Linked DNA regions of Rattus norvegicus. The protein of the gene in region 2 purifies or fractionates together with the protein of the main gene of each other region. This does not show direct contact. Links are inferred from orthologs where the notes say so. Each region holds a gene or a part of one and is shown on either strand. Other genes may lie near its edges. The genes, in order: Tlr4, Ticam1 and Ripk1.

Region 1 (3,650 bases), on a different chromosome or scaffold from region 2:
CTTTTCTTCCCCACACTTGAACCAGTGCAGGCCCTGAGCATGCTGCCAGTCTCTGTGAATATGTGCATCAGTCCTGTTGTGTCTGGGGGACACTGCTTATTGGAGTCATCTGAGCCCTGAGGGGAAGGCTTGATAAAAATATACTCTTTAAGACTGGGTACTATAGCAACTATTTCTTGCCCACAGTAGATGTATTGCTTGGATATTGGCATCTTTTTCTGAAGGTATTGCTTTTCTTATTCTCTACCCTCTTTTCTATTTTAAATATTTCAGGTATCTTGCAAACCTACTCACATACCAAAATCTTTTCTGATCCTCTCACACACATAAAAAAAACAGCTCTTCTTCTAAAGGACAAATTGTGTTGCCCATATTTTCCCATATTTTATTACTTACGTTTGTTGTAAACTACAGTATTAGTTTGGTTAACATTCGTTTGATTTGTGCTATGTGTCCATTAACCAGGACATGACTTTAACTTATTAAAGAAGATTTTTATCCTGCTTAATAATTAGGAGTATGGGTTTTGTATCTATAAATTTTTGTTCTGTAGCTTAGATGTATATCATATAATATGTGATCCATAAATACCTAATGAAATAGTTTAAAATAATATAGAAGTTAGAACTGCCCTTTGATATTCTTATTTAGCTGCCTACCAAATAGAAACCAGGTAAATAAAAGTAACTGTCCCAAGGATTTACAGCAAGGACTAAGTCTACTGAATAGATGAGTAAAGGAAATTTACTTAGAAACATCTAGGTCTTCTGAGCCAAAAATGCAGTGATATAGAAATAACTACTTCACAGTCTGCAGCAAATAAAACTCATTCATTACCTGGATAAATCCAGCCACTGAAGTTGTGAGAAATTGGAGAAGCTATAGCTTCTTAAGATCTTCAGGGGGTTGAAGCTCAGATCTAGGTTCTTGGTTGAATAAGGGATGTCATGAGGGATTTTGCTGAGATTCTGATCCATGCATTGGTAGGTAATATTAGGAAGTACCTGTAAAAAATCACACAAAATGTTATTCTTTTCGACTGTATGTGTTCCCACTCCTCTCCAAAGATGAATAATGAGATGGTAAAACTCCCATATACATGCTAATCAATATACCATCCACCTATCCATCCATTCTTCGTGATTTATTTTGTTTTTAAACAAGCTTTCAGATAGCCCAGTCTTCTTTTAAATTAGCTATACAGTCAAAGATAACATTGAACTTCCTATCTAATTGCCTCTACCACACAAGCACTGGCATTTCTGGGATATGGCCTCATATCCATCCTTCTCCATTCATTTACCTACCTCTTCATGTTTATAAAACATCTTATTCTACATATCAGGAAGAAAAAATGTTCCTTGCATTCTCAACGTGTTAACATTCTGCTCCAACAAAATTATAATTAAATGAAGAACAGTGAAATCAGGTGTTAAATGACCGTCAAGTCTGAAAACCTTGGTTTTATCACATGTGTTCTGTGTCACTTGGTACAAAGTACATCTTTTATATTATTGTTCTTTGAAATTATAATTATATCATTTCCCCTTTCCTTTTCCTCTCTTCAAGTTCTTATTCCCTTTTCTTTGCTCTTTTTCAAATCCATGGTATCTTTTTTTCATTAATGTATATGTTTATGTGTAAGTGTATGTGTGTTTGTGTGTGTGTGTATATACATATATATATATATATATATATATATATATATATGCCTGTATTATATAAGTACTACCTGGTCGGCTTGCGTAATATTACTTATATATATGTTTTCAGCAATGACCGGTTGGTATTTAGTAACCAACTGCTGGACTCTTCTCTGGGGAAGATGATTTCTCCCACACTATAAACAAAGATCATTACAGAAATCACAGCCAATGAAAATTCAGGAATCTGGAGCCAAGTACATGTACAACACAACTCCCATATCTACAGATCAGGGATCATTGCAGCAGAAGAAGCTGAAAGAATATGAGGGTCAAAAGGTCAGGAACTTTACTGTGATACTGTGTTTCCTAATGTCAAAAGCTACACCCACAAAGTCTTACTAACATGACTGCCTAACTTGAGTTGAAAAAAGACAACAACTAGACATGCTACCATGGACAGAGTCCATGACCCTATCTATACAGGAGTCCTTAACCCTATATAAAGAACTAAGGAATACTGAGTGTGGGACAAAGCTTTGTTTGTTTGTGTGATGGTTAGTTTTTTTTTATAATATTTTCTATGAACCTCACTAGTTTTATGTAAAATACATGTAGGTTTGTACAGAGTTTTATGTAAAATTATTGCCATTCTAACTAATTATCTTCATTATATATAGCCACATGGAGAATACTAATAAAAATGTACAGACATGTCCTAGCTACTGACCTATTTTTGACAATTGCTTTTGGTTCTTAGGCTCATTGACTTTCCCAGTTTGGTACTGGGATCAGAGGCAGTCTTTGAGTGCATGGATTCCAGTGGTGGAAAATAGTACTCAAGGTCGAGTGTGTTCTCTATCAGAGTCTCCGCCTATTTTTATCTGTTTTCTCACATTCATTGTGAATTCTATGCAATGCATTCCATGTGATGTCATAACTATATGATTTCATCCAGCAAATGCTTTGTTTAACCCAGTGAGTTTTGTTTTCTTTTATTTAAAAGCAATGGAATTCTCAAAGGGCTAAATGAGATCAGAGCTTATCTCAAAGCTTGCATTAATTAAAGTGATAAATATTAATGTTAATTAACATTGGCTACTATTGACTTTTTGCTACATATTAGCATTTACTTACATCTTATGTATTTTATACTAATCTTCAAAAAATCCTTTAAAAACGAAGAAAATAAAAAGATGGGGTAATACACATACAGTCAAAGAATTTGTATATATTCAGGATCCTTCGTACATGTCTACTTAAATTGTATTTGTACTGGCTGGTTTTGTGGGTCAACTTGACACAAGTTGGAGTTACAACAGTCAAAGGAGCCTCCCTTGAGGAAATGCCTTCATGGGATCCAGCTCTAAGGCATTTTCTCAACTAGTGATCAAGGTGATCAAGAAAAAAGGACCTAGAGCATTGTGGGTAGTACCATTCCTGTGCTGGTAGTCCTGGGTTTTCTAAGAGAGCAAGCAGAACAAGCCAGGGGAAACAAGGCAGTAAGTAATATCACTCCCTAGCCTCTGCATCAGCTCCTGCTTCCTAACCTGCCAGAGTTCCTGTCCTGAGTTCCTTGGGTGATTAACATCAATGTGGAAGTGTAAGCTGAACAAACTCTTTCCTCCCCAGCTTGCTTCTTGGTCATGATGTTTGTGCAGGAATAGAAACCCTAAGATAGTACTCATCATAGGATCCTTGAAGACAATGAATCTAATAGAGTAAGTCACCAGTCAGAAACTCTTCTCTTACCTTCTTTTATTCCCTTCACAGGTTTTGATGGCCAGGCAAATCTATAGTCTATACAATATTTTCCAAATGCCTTTCATTTGATGAAATGAACCATGAGCTTTGATGCTCTGATGATTTTTGTTTGCTATTTTGTTTTCGAGGCTCAGAAAGGGGGATAGTGACCTCTCTGTGCTCAGTAGACATTTTTTGATGAATGAATGATAAATATTGTCTAATTGATGGGACAGAGGACTGCTTAAGCCAAATAGTATGTCT
Region 2 (4,253 bases):
CTTCCAGGACCTCACAGCCAGTGTTCTTGCCCAAACTCGAGAGCACATAGCCAGAGCCCGAGATGCCCTTGAGCACACTGTGGAGTATGTGGCCCAGAACACTCCAGCCATGTGGCTGGTGGGCCCCTTTGCTCCTGGAATCACTGAGAAAGCCCCTGAAGAGAAGTAGGGAGAAGGACCAGGGCCAACACCTATCTGACTTGACTGCTTTTCCCAACAGTCCTGTTGCACAGCAGGTCTTCCCCTACTCTGAGTCTGAATGAGACGTGTTTAACCTTTTCCCATCAGTCTTTTTAAAGCAAAAATATTTTTTCTAGAATCTAGAATGTTCTGGAAAAAATTGTTTTCCTGAAAAAATGAGGATGATGAATAGTGATAGCACAAGCCTGTCATCCTGGGCCAGCCCTGTGGTGTAGAAGCAGGAGGGTCAGTTCAAAGCCTGACTGCCACATAGCAAATTCAATGATAGCCTAGACTACGTAAGACCTTGTCTTGAAGTAAATCAGGCATAGTGACATTCCACTCCAGTTTCTTTCCTGCATTCATGGCCCAGAATAGCAAGAGCTTTTCTGACAGACCCTGATACCTGGTCCAAGAATCCAGCAACTGTGACAGGATGGAGAACTGGAGTGTTGCAGTCGTTTCAGATGAGAAAGTGAGAGCTGAGAATCCACTGTCCCTTAGATAATGCCTTAATAAATTTTACCTGCTTCAGAGACCAGACGGGTGCTGTGTGTTCCCTTCCTAGCAGCTGAGCTACCCTGATACCTGGAGGGGCCTTCTTCCTTATATCTCTGCTTTATGCATAGTGCAAGTCTTCCCACCTTGAGTGTTAGAAATGACCATGTGGGAACAGCAGCAAGAGCCTGCTGCCTGCTTTCCCTCCTCCCTGTGAGATACGGAGAAGAACTAGTGTGACAAGCTGAACCTGCCAGACTTTCAATGTCTGTCCCCCTTGACCTCAAGGTCATCCCAACTCAGAGGGTGGGAACAAGAAGATCAGGAGTTCAAGGTCATCCTTGGCTACTTAGTAAGTTTGAAATTAACCTGGGCCACACTGACACTGTGTCTCAAAACAGAAAAACCCAGGGCAGGAGAGATGGCTCCAGTGGTAAAGTGCTTAGAGTTCTTGGCTTTGGGGTGGAAGCCAAGAAAACTCACTTCAGAGACAAAGCTTAAAAATAAAAGCTTTGGGGTTGGGGATTTAGCTCAGTGGTAGAGCGCTTGCCTAGCAAGCGCAAGGCCCTGGGTTCGGTCCCCAGCTCCGAAATAAATAAATAAATAAATAAATAAATAAATAAATAAATAAATAAATAAATGCAAGCTTTATTTTCTGCACTGGCAGGTAGGTGGCCAATTTGGGATCTGATTCCCAAAGAGACTACGCAGACCTTTTTATAGGAATGGGAACACAAAGCGAGGGGGAGCCGGCTGGGCTGTTAGAAAGAAGTTAATGTGGATGACTGGACTTAATCCTGGTCACCTGGTTTCAGGGCCCTTGAGTCAGCTTTTACAACCAGGTCCCTTCCTGGACTCTGGCCTGGACTCTAGTGATAAAGGACAAAGGAGTGGTGAGCAGATGTAGCCGGTTAAGACGGGAACACATGTATGACTTGTGTCTTGGTTTAGACAACAGGATAGGCATCTCCCTCTTCGTGTCCTTTACTGGGTAACAAACACGAAATATCTAAAAAGCAAGTTGGATTCTGGGGCCTGGGAACATGGAGATGGAGGATGATGGAACTTGCTCCTGAGATGACTGGACTCAGGCAGCTGTCTCCTAATGATGTGACCAAGAGAAAACATTGGATGTTAACCTCCACAAAGATGTACACATGTAAACACAAAAATGGAGAGGCCATTCTGATACCTGATTGTGTTCAGTGATGCAAGGCAGATACTCCTGACTAGAATCCCCAGCAAGAGGGTAGGGGTAGCTCATTTGTGCAGCCACCTCCCAGTCACAGTCCTCTGTAAATAGCTGCTTTTCTGTTTTCAGAATTTAGCTTCACCAATTTTTATTTATTTATTATATTTAAGTACACTGTAGTTGTCTTAGACACACCGAAAGAGGGTGCACACCAGAAGAGGGCATCATTTACAACTACAGATGGCTGTGAGCCACCATGTGGCTGGTGAGATTTGAACTCAGGACCTCTGGAAGGGCAGTCAGTGCTCTTAACCACTGAGCCATCTCTCCAGCCTAGCTTCCTTAGTTTTAAAACATGCCTGTAATTTCACCACCTAGCTGAGAAATACTCACAACTAAACAGTTGTATAAGATCTTTTGGCCTCCAGCACTTCTGTTCACTTATCTTGTATTAATTTATTTTTGAGATGGAGCTCTCTCTGTGTTGGTCAGGCTTTCTTCGAACTTGGGGCAATCCACCTGCCTCAGTTTCCTGTGTGCTGCTGGACTGATAAGAGTGAGTCACCAGGCTCCCTGTGAACTTAGCCACGTGGTACTTTGCGAAACCCCAGAGTATGTCACTAGCTGAGCTCTGTGGCTGCCAGCTTAACATTCTCTAGGGGTGGAGGGTTCCTTCCTTCTTCCGCAGCTCTGGCCCCACAGAGTGCAAGCCCTGCCTAGTTCCACGTGGCGCCAGGGCACTGGGCCGGAGGGCAGGGCCTGGCTCAGCTAGATGATGTGATTACAGGCGAGACTGCTGACTTCATCCTCTCCTCCCCACAAGACCCGGAAGGGAGGAAGGGGTGGAACCGAACTCTCCCTCCTCCTCCAGCAGCTACCAGGGACCTCGAAATCTACCAGCTCAGGACCCCCACAGCCAGGTAGGATGAAGGCAGAGGGGACAGCACGGCAGGCACAGGGTCAGGAGTGAGTGCTGGGCTGCCACCTGCAGGCCCTCAGGTTGCTCAAGCCCTTTCCCTTGGACACTCAGATCTGCAATCCAACTCCTGACCCCAACCCAGCCCTGTGATCTTGGGTTCTCTCCAGCCCCTAGTACTCCCAGATGCCTAGATCTTCTAACTAGAGGTCTCCTCCAGCCCCAACAGCGAGCGAACCCCCATCCCTCTTCACCCTCAATGCCTCCCCTTGCTTTCTCTACCTCAGTGTCCTCTGTCAAAACCCCTGCCCCAGACTAACACAGGCACCAGCTGCCACCTGTAAGGACTGGCCTGCTGCAGCTTCTGCAGTCTGCTCTGTTCCTGGCCCAACACAGGCCCCTGGACCATTCTAAGGAGAAGGCCAGGGAAGAAAGAGAGAGAGGCCTATTTACATCCCATCCACCCACAAACCCAGCCATCCGCTCACCCAGCCACCCACCAGTCCTGGTTTATGCTGCTCTGGGGATACCACACAGGGTCTTAGGCATGCTGGATGAGCACTCTCCCTACTGAGCATACCTCCTACCTCTCTCCGCTTCCTTCACTCTGTCTCTCTCCCTTCCTTCCTCCCCCCCCCTCTTTCCCTCTCCCTTTCCTTTCCTCTCTTTCTTAAAAATAAGTGCTTTTATTTTTTGTCACTTGTGTTATCTTGAGACAGGGTGTATCACTATGCAGACCAGGCTGGTCTGGAACTCATTTGGACTGACCCTGATCTCTCGGCTCAAGAAATCCTCATGTTGTTGGGCAGTGGTGGCACACACCTTTGATCCCAGCACTCAGGAAGCAGAAGAGGGTCAATCTCTGAGTCTGAGGCCAGCCTGGTCTACAGAGTGAGGTCCAGGACAGCCTGGGCTACACGGAGAAACCCTGTCTTGAAAAACAAAAAACACAAACAAGAAAGAAGAAAAAAATCCTTCTGTCTCAGCTTTTCAAGTAGCTTGGACAAGAGGAAAATGCCACCCTTACATGGTAGACGCAGGAGGATCAGAAGTTTAAGGTTATGCTGGGCTACATAGTGCAAGGCCCAATCCTGTCTCAGTGACAAGAAACAAGCAAATAAAACACAACTACTCTGTTCACTGCTTAATTATGTCAATAAACATTTATCTCTCCTGTCTATGTCTCTTTCTCCTTTCCCATCTCTCTGTGCTGCCTTCCTCTCTTTTCTGGCTGGGGGCTGAACATGGTCTCATGTATGACAGGCAAGTACTCTGTCAACTCAACTGTATCTCCAGACCTCGGTATGCACTTACTAGGCACTAGCTGTGTACCAGGCACTGTCCTGTTCATGTTGTTCAAGACAGAGTTCAGTATGTAGCCCTGGCTGTCCTAGAACTCTGTAGACCAGAGAGGCCTCAACTCAGAGATCCTCCTGCCTCTGCTGAGTGCTGGGATTAAAGGTGTGC
Region 3 (4,113 bases), on a different chromosome or scaffold from region 2:
CTGAGTTCAATCCCCAGCACCCTTGCAAAAACAAAAACAAACAAACAAAAAACTGGCTATGGCGACATTCCTGGAGTTGAAGACAGACACGCTCTTGCAGTTTACTGGGCAGACTGCTTAGTCCACTCCACAAGCTAAAGTCAAAAGTAAGACAATGTATGGAAAAGAAAAAGGTGAATTGTAAGGAGCTTCTGGAGGTGGGCTTCTGGCCTCCACATTATGTGCAGTTTTACACACACACACACACACACACACACACACACACACACACCACACGCACTCCACCCCCAAAATAACTCAAAACAAACAAAAAACCCAACTTAAGTACATGTGTTTATACAGTAGATGTATGTTTATTTGGGTACATACCTGTATGTGAAACTACTAAATCATATAGTAACCATAAAGGTTTTGCATTATTTGCAAGAATATAAGCGATTTTCAGTTATTGTATGTCTTCATTAACATCTGTGAATGTTTGGGATTTGGAGGCTTTTTATGTGTATTTGACATCAAATTTGAGTTCCCCTAGTGTCCTAGGACCTTGAGCATCTTCTTTTTTTTTTTTTTCAGAGCTGGGGACCGAACCCAGGGCCTTGCGCTTGCTAGACAAGTGTTCTACCACTGAGCTAAATCCCCAACCCCCTTGAGCATCTTCTTAATGCTTATTTTCATGGTATCTGGTAAAATGGCTGTTAAGTTTCTTAAAGTGGTGGTCGTGTGTAGGGTTTAGGAAGTCTCCTTAATCGTATCTTTTGTGATCCTCTCCCTCTCTTGACCTATTTTTTTTTCTTTGACAATAAGTGATCGTTGTATTACCGTGCAACTTCTTTCTTAATGACACCTGTAGTAACACTTATTTTTTTTTTTTGCTTGGGATTTCAATTACCACTTTAGAGAGCTACAAATTAATCACGTTTCTTCCTCGACAGCCTGCCGTGACAGATAAATGATAATTTGCCAGGGGTTCTGTCACCGCTGAACCCACAAAGCTTGCAAACGCCACTGTCGCACGCAGTGCTTGAAGCGGCCAAGCGGTCTCTGCCCTGACATACAGCGGTTATGACCGCCTCTTTTTTTTTTTTTTTAAGGGATCTCTCATAACTAGTTGTAAGGCAAAGCAAAACTACCATTCATTTTCCTAGCTGATTTCCGGGATCATCGCGCTGCAAACCTGGCTTTCTCGGTAGAGCTCAATGCCCAGCTTGGGAGGCTGGCGCTCGCCCGGGCACACCGCCCCGGGGCGTGAGCAGAGGCGGAGACAAGGGCGGTCGCAGCCTAGCACCACCCCAGTAGACCTTAGACGCGTAGGAGCGGCCCCCAGAGCGGCCTCCGGAGCGCGGGTATCGGTGCCGCTCACCTCCCGTGAGTCCAGCCGCTGTGCGAACCGGCTGAGGAGCGAGGTGGACGCGGTGGGAGGCGGTGAGGAGCCTGGGCGTGGCTGGACGCCACTTCAGCACCTAGCTCCGTCCGGTCCTAGTCAGGGCCCAGGTTCATCCCCGCCCGGCAGCCACAGCGAGGAGCAGCTCCTGACGTCCACCGCCCGTCCTTCCTCACCTGGGCCGGAGTACTTGGCCGCGGAAAAGCCTCTAAGGTAAGTCAGAGCCGGGGCCCGGGCCGCCGCTAGTTTCCTCAACAGCTGGATTCCCGGAAGGGGCGGGGGCCGAGCGATTTCTGCGCGTGGACCGGAGGGCGGGGCTCGTTGTTTCCGGAAACCGGGTGATGGGCGGGACTTCAAGCGTACCCGGAAATCGGAAAGCGCGGGACTTGCTGTCATCTAGCGGGAGGGTGGACACTTGAGGTAGTTTTAGCTCAAGTCGCGACAGAGAAGGTGGACATCTGCGCCGCGACCACGGTTACAGATCTCTCTTATTATTATTATTATTATTATTATTATTATTATTATTATTATTATTTTGGTAGGGATGACGGCTTATTGAAGCGTTAGTGCCCAAACTAGGTTACCTAAATGTAATCTATCAACCCTGGACCTACCAACTCTTTAAAAGGGTCTATTACTGTTGTACTTGGGGCAGTAGAAGGTTGCAAAGCAGTCAGTAGCTTTCATCTTTATCTTTGAGGCGAGCTGAAAAAGGAGTGATCCACAACCTCGACGAGAGACTAGTATCAAACATCCAAGGCTTCTCTGGTCCTCAGTAGCATTTGCTTTTGTATTGCTGCAGACACTCTCTGAATTGTGAAAAAGATAGGCCGCATTCTCCTCACCTAAACATTGGACAGAGTCTTCTGAGATTGGATGGTGCAGTCCAGGGTGACTCATTCATTGTCTCTTGCAGATCATTTGATTTCCTTGCTCTTTTATTTTGTGAAGCTGTTTTAAGAAATGCCACAAAAGACCTTCGGAAAGGTATTCTTAACACATGAAGACTCAGTGGCAGAGTGAACTTTGGGATGGAATGACTTAGTCGTGTAATTTTGTAACCACTGGAAAGGCCTGTTAGAAAGGTGAACCATCACAGCTGCATTGTATACAGAAATATACTAGCCTTATTTTAAGTAAAATTCGGGATGTTTTGTTTGTGTTACTGACAAAACAGTAGTAACAATTCTTAACTTTAATTTTCATTTTTCTCTTTCTTTGCTATTTTGCACATGATATTGAGCTTTCAGGATTGTATTAAGAAATATGTCCAAGGTAACAACTTACAAATTGGGCACTGTAGAAGTAATATTACTTCTTAGTGTGTGACTCCTTAATATCTTCAGTAGGATCTGGAAATTGAATCAAAAATAGTTTCCCAGGGTTGGGGATTTAGCTCAGTGGTAGAGTGCTTGCCTAGGAAGCACAAGGCCCTGGGTTCGGTCCCCAGCTCTGAAAAAAAGAACCAAAAAAAAAAAAAAAATAGCTTCCCACACTTTGGTTGGATATTATTCTGGCAGATGTATCTTATTATATAGACATGGATATAATACTTATTTTTTAAAAACATAGTTTTCCTAAGTTTTTAAAATTTAGTCAGTACACCCCCATATTTTTTAATGTAGAATATTAATTTAATCTGGGTAAGTCTGTATGATTTTGTTTGTTTGTTTATTGTTTTCGAGACAGAGTGTCTTTGTGTAGCCCTTACTATCCTGAAGCCAGTTACATAGAAGACCAGGCTGGCCTTGAATTCCCAGAGATCCACCTGCCTCAGCCTTCCTGGTATTTGGCTTGAAGGCTTGTGTCACTAAGCATAACTTTGTCTCAGACTCGAATCCTCAGAATACACAGCCATTGAGTTAAGGTGTAATTCTTTCAGAACGTAATTTTGTTATGAATGTAATTTGTGTTTATTATAGGAAATGTAATAAAAAATGTAAAGAGCCAGGAATGGTAATTACAGCTGTAATTCCAACACTGAAGCAAGAGGATCACAAATCTCAAGCCAGCCTAGGCACACACAAGACACTGACTTAACAAAAGTATACAGAAGAAAGGAACAATTTGCCTTACAATGTAAAATCAATGTTAGTGAATTTTTGGTGTCTTTCTCTATATTGTTTTTTTATTGCCATATAATCCATTTTATAGTTTATGATCTGTTTTATTATATCCTTTATTATTTAACAACTAAATAGTTCTTCTTTTAGAATTTTTTTACCACTTAACAATTGTTTACCATGTGTTTGGCTCTTCCAGGCACTGAGGACAAACAGGTTTTTTGGTTTTGATTGGTTTTGTTGGTGGTGGTGGTTTTGTTGTTGGTGGTGGTTTTGTTTTGTTTTTTGCCTCTGTACAGTTCATTAGGAACGATTTTAAAATAACTATTTGAGGAGAGACGTGCGAGCTCTGTAAACATCTCATAATAGGAAGACTTAAGATTGGAACCCAGGAAATGAGAGTACTCAGACCAGAAACTTCTAGTCTTCCTGACTAGGGGTTTAAAAGAATGTGGCTGGAGAGGGAGGGGTATATCTGAGATGAGGAAGACTGGGCAGGACTTCTTGCCCCAGAAAATGTATAGGAAAGGAGGAATTGGGCCTGGAACACCTAGTAATATTAACACCTTCTGTCTCCACACTAGTCCATTCTCAGTCTCATAGATTGTCTGTAGGGACCTGCTGGGTAGTCTCAATTCAGTCTTTAAGTGCTAATTTAACATGTAAGCA

What was found.
Region 1: the proteins of Ticam1 (region 2) and Tlr4 purify together in Homo sapiens (affinity purification with western blotting; 3 studies listed by BioGRID). This does not show direct contact. The link is inferred for Rattus norvegicus from reciprocal best matches to the Homo sapiens genes TICAM1 and TLR4.
Region 3: the proteins of Ticam1 (region 2) and Ripk1 purify together in Homo sapiens (affinity purification with western blotting; 4 studies listed by BioGRID). This does not show direct contact. The link is inferred for Rattus norvegicus from reciprocal best matches to the Homo sapiens genes TICAM1 and RIPK1.

Annotation. Positions count from the first base shown.
Region 1 is NC_086023.1:85,164,166-85,167,815, reverse strand, and holds part of Tlr4 (toll-like receptor 4 precursor), read right to left. Parts: intron 1,005-3,650; coding exon 838-1,004; intron 1-837.
Region 2 is NC_086027.1:1,194,804-1,199,056, reverse strand, and holds the start of Ticam1 (TIR domain-containing adapter molecule 1), read left to right. Parts: upstream 1-1,326; 5' UTR 1,327-2,790; intron 2,791-4,253. Other genes in the region: Plin3 (perilipin-3), read left to right, coding at 1-169.
Region 3 is NC_086035.1:31,074,347-31,078,459, reverse strand, and holds the start of Ripk1 (receptor-interacting serine/threonine-protein kinase 1), read left to right. Parts: upstream 1-1,292; 5' UTR 1,293-1,594; exon of another isoform or gene 1,595-1,649; intron 1,650-2,297; exon of another isoform or gene 2,298-2,466; intron 2,467-4,113. UniProt on the Homo sapiens protein: Serine-threonine kinase which is a key regulator of TNF-mediated apoptosis, necroptosis and inflammatory pathways.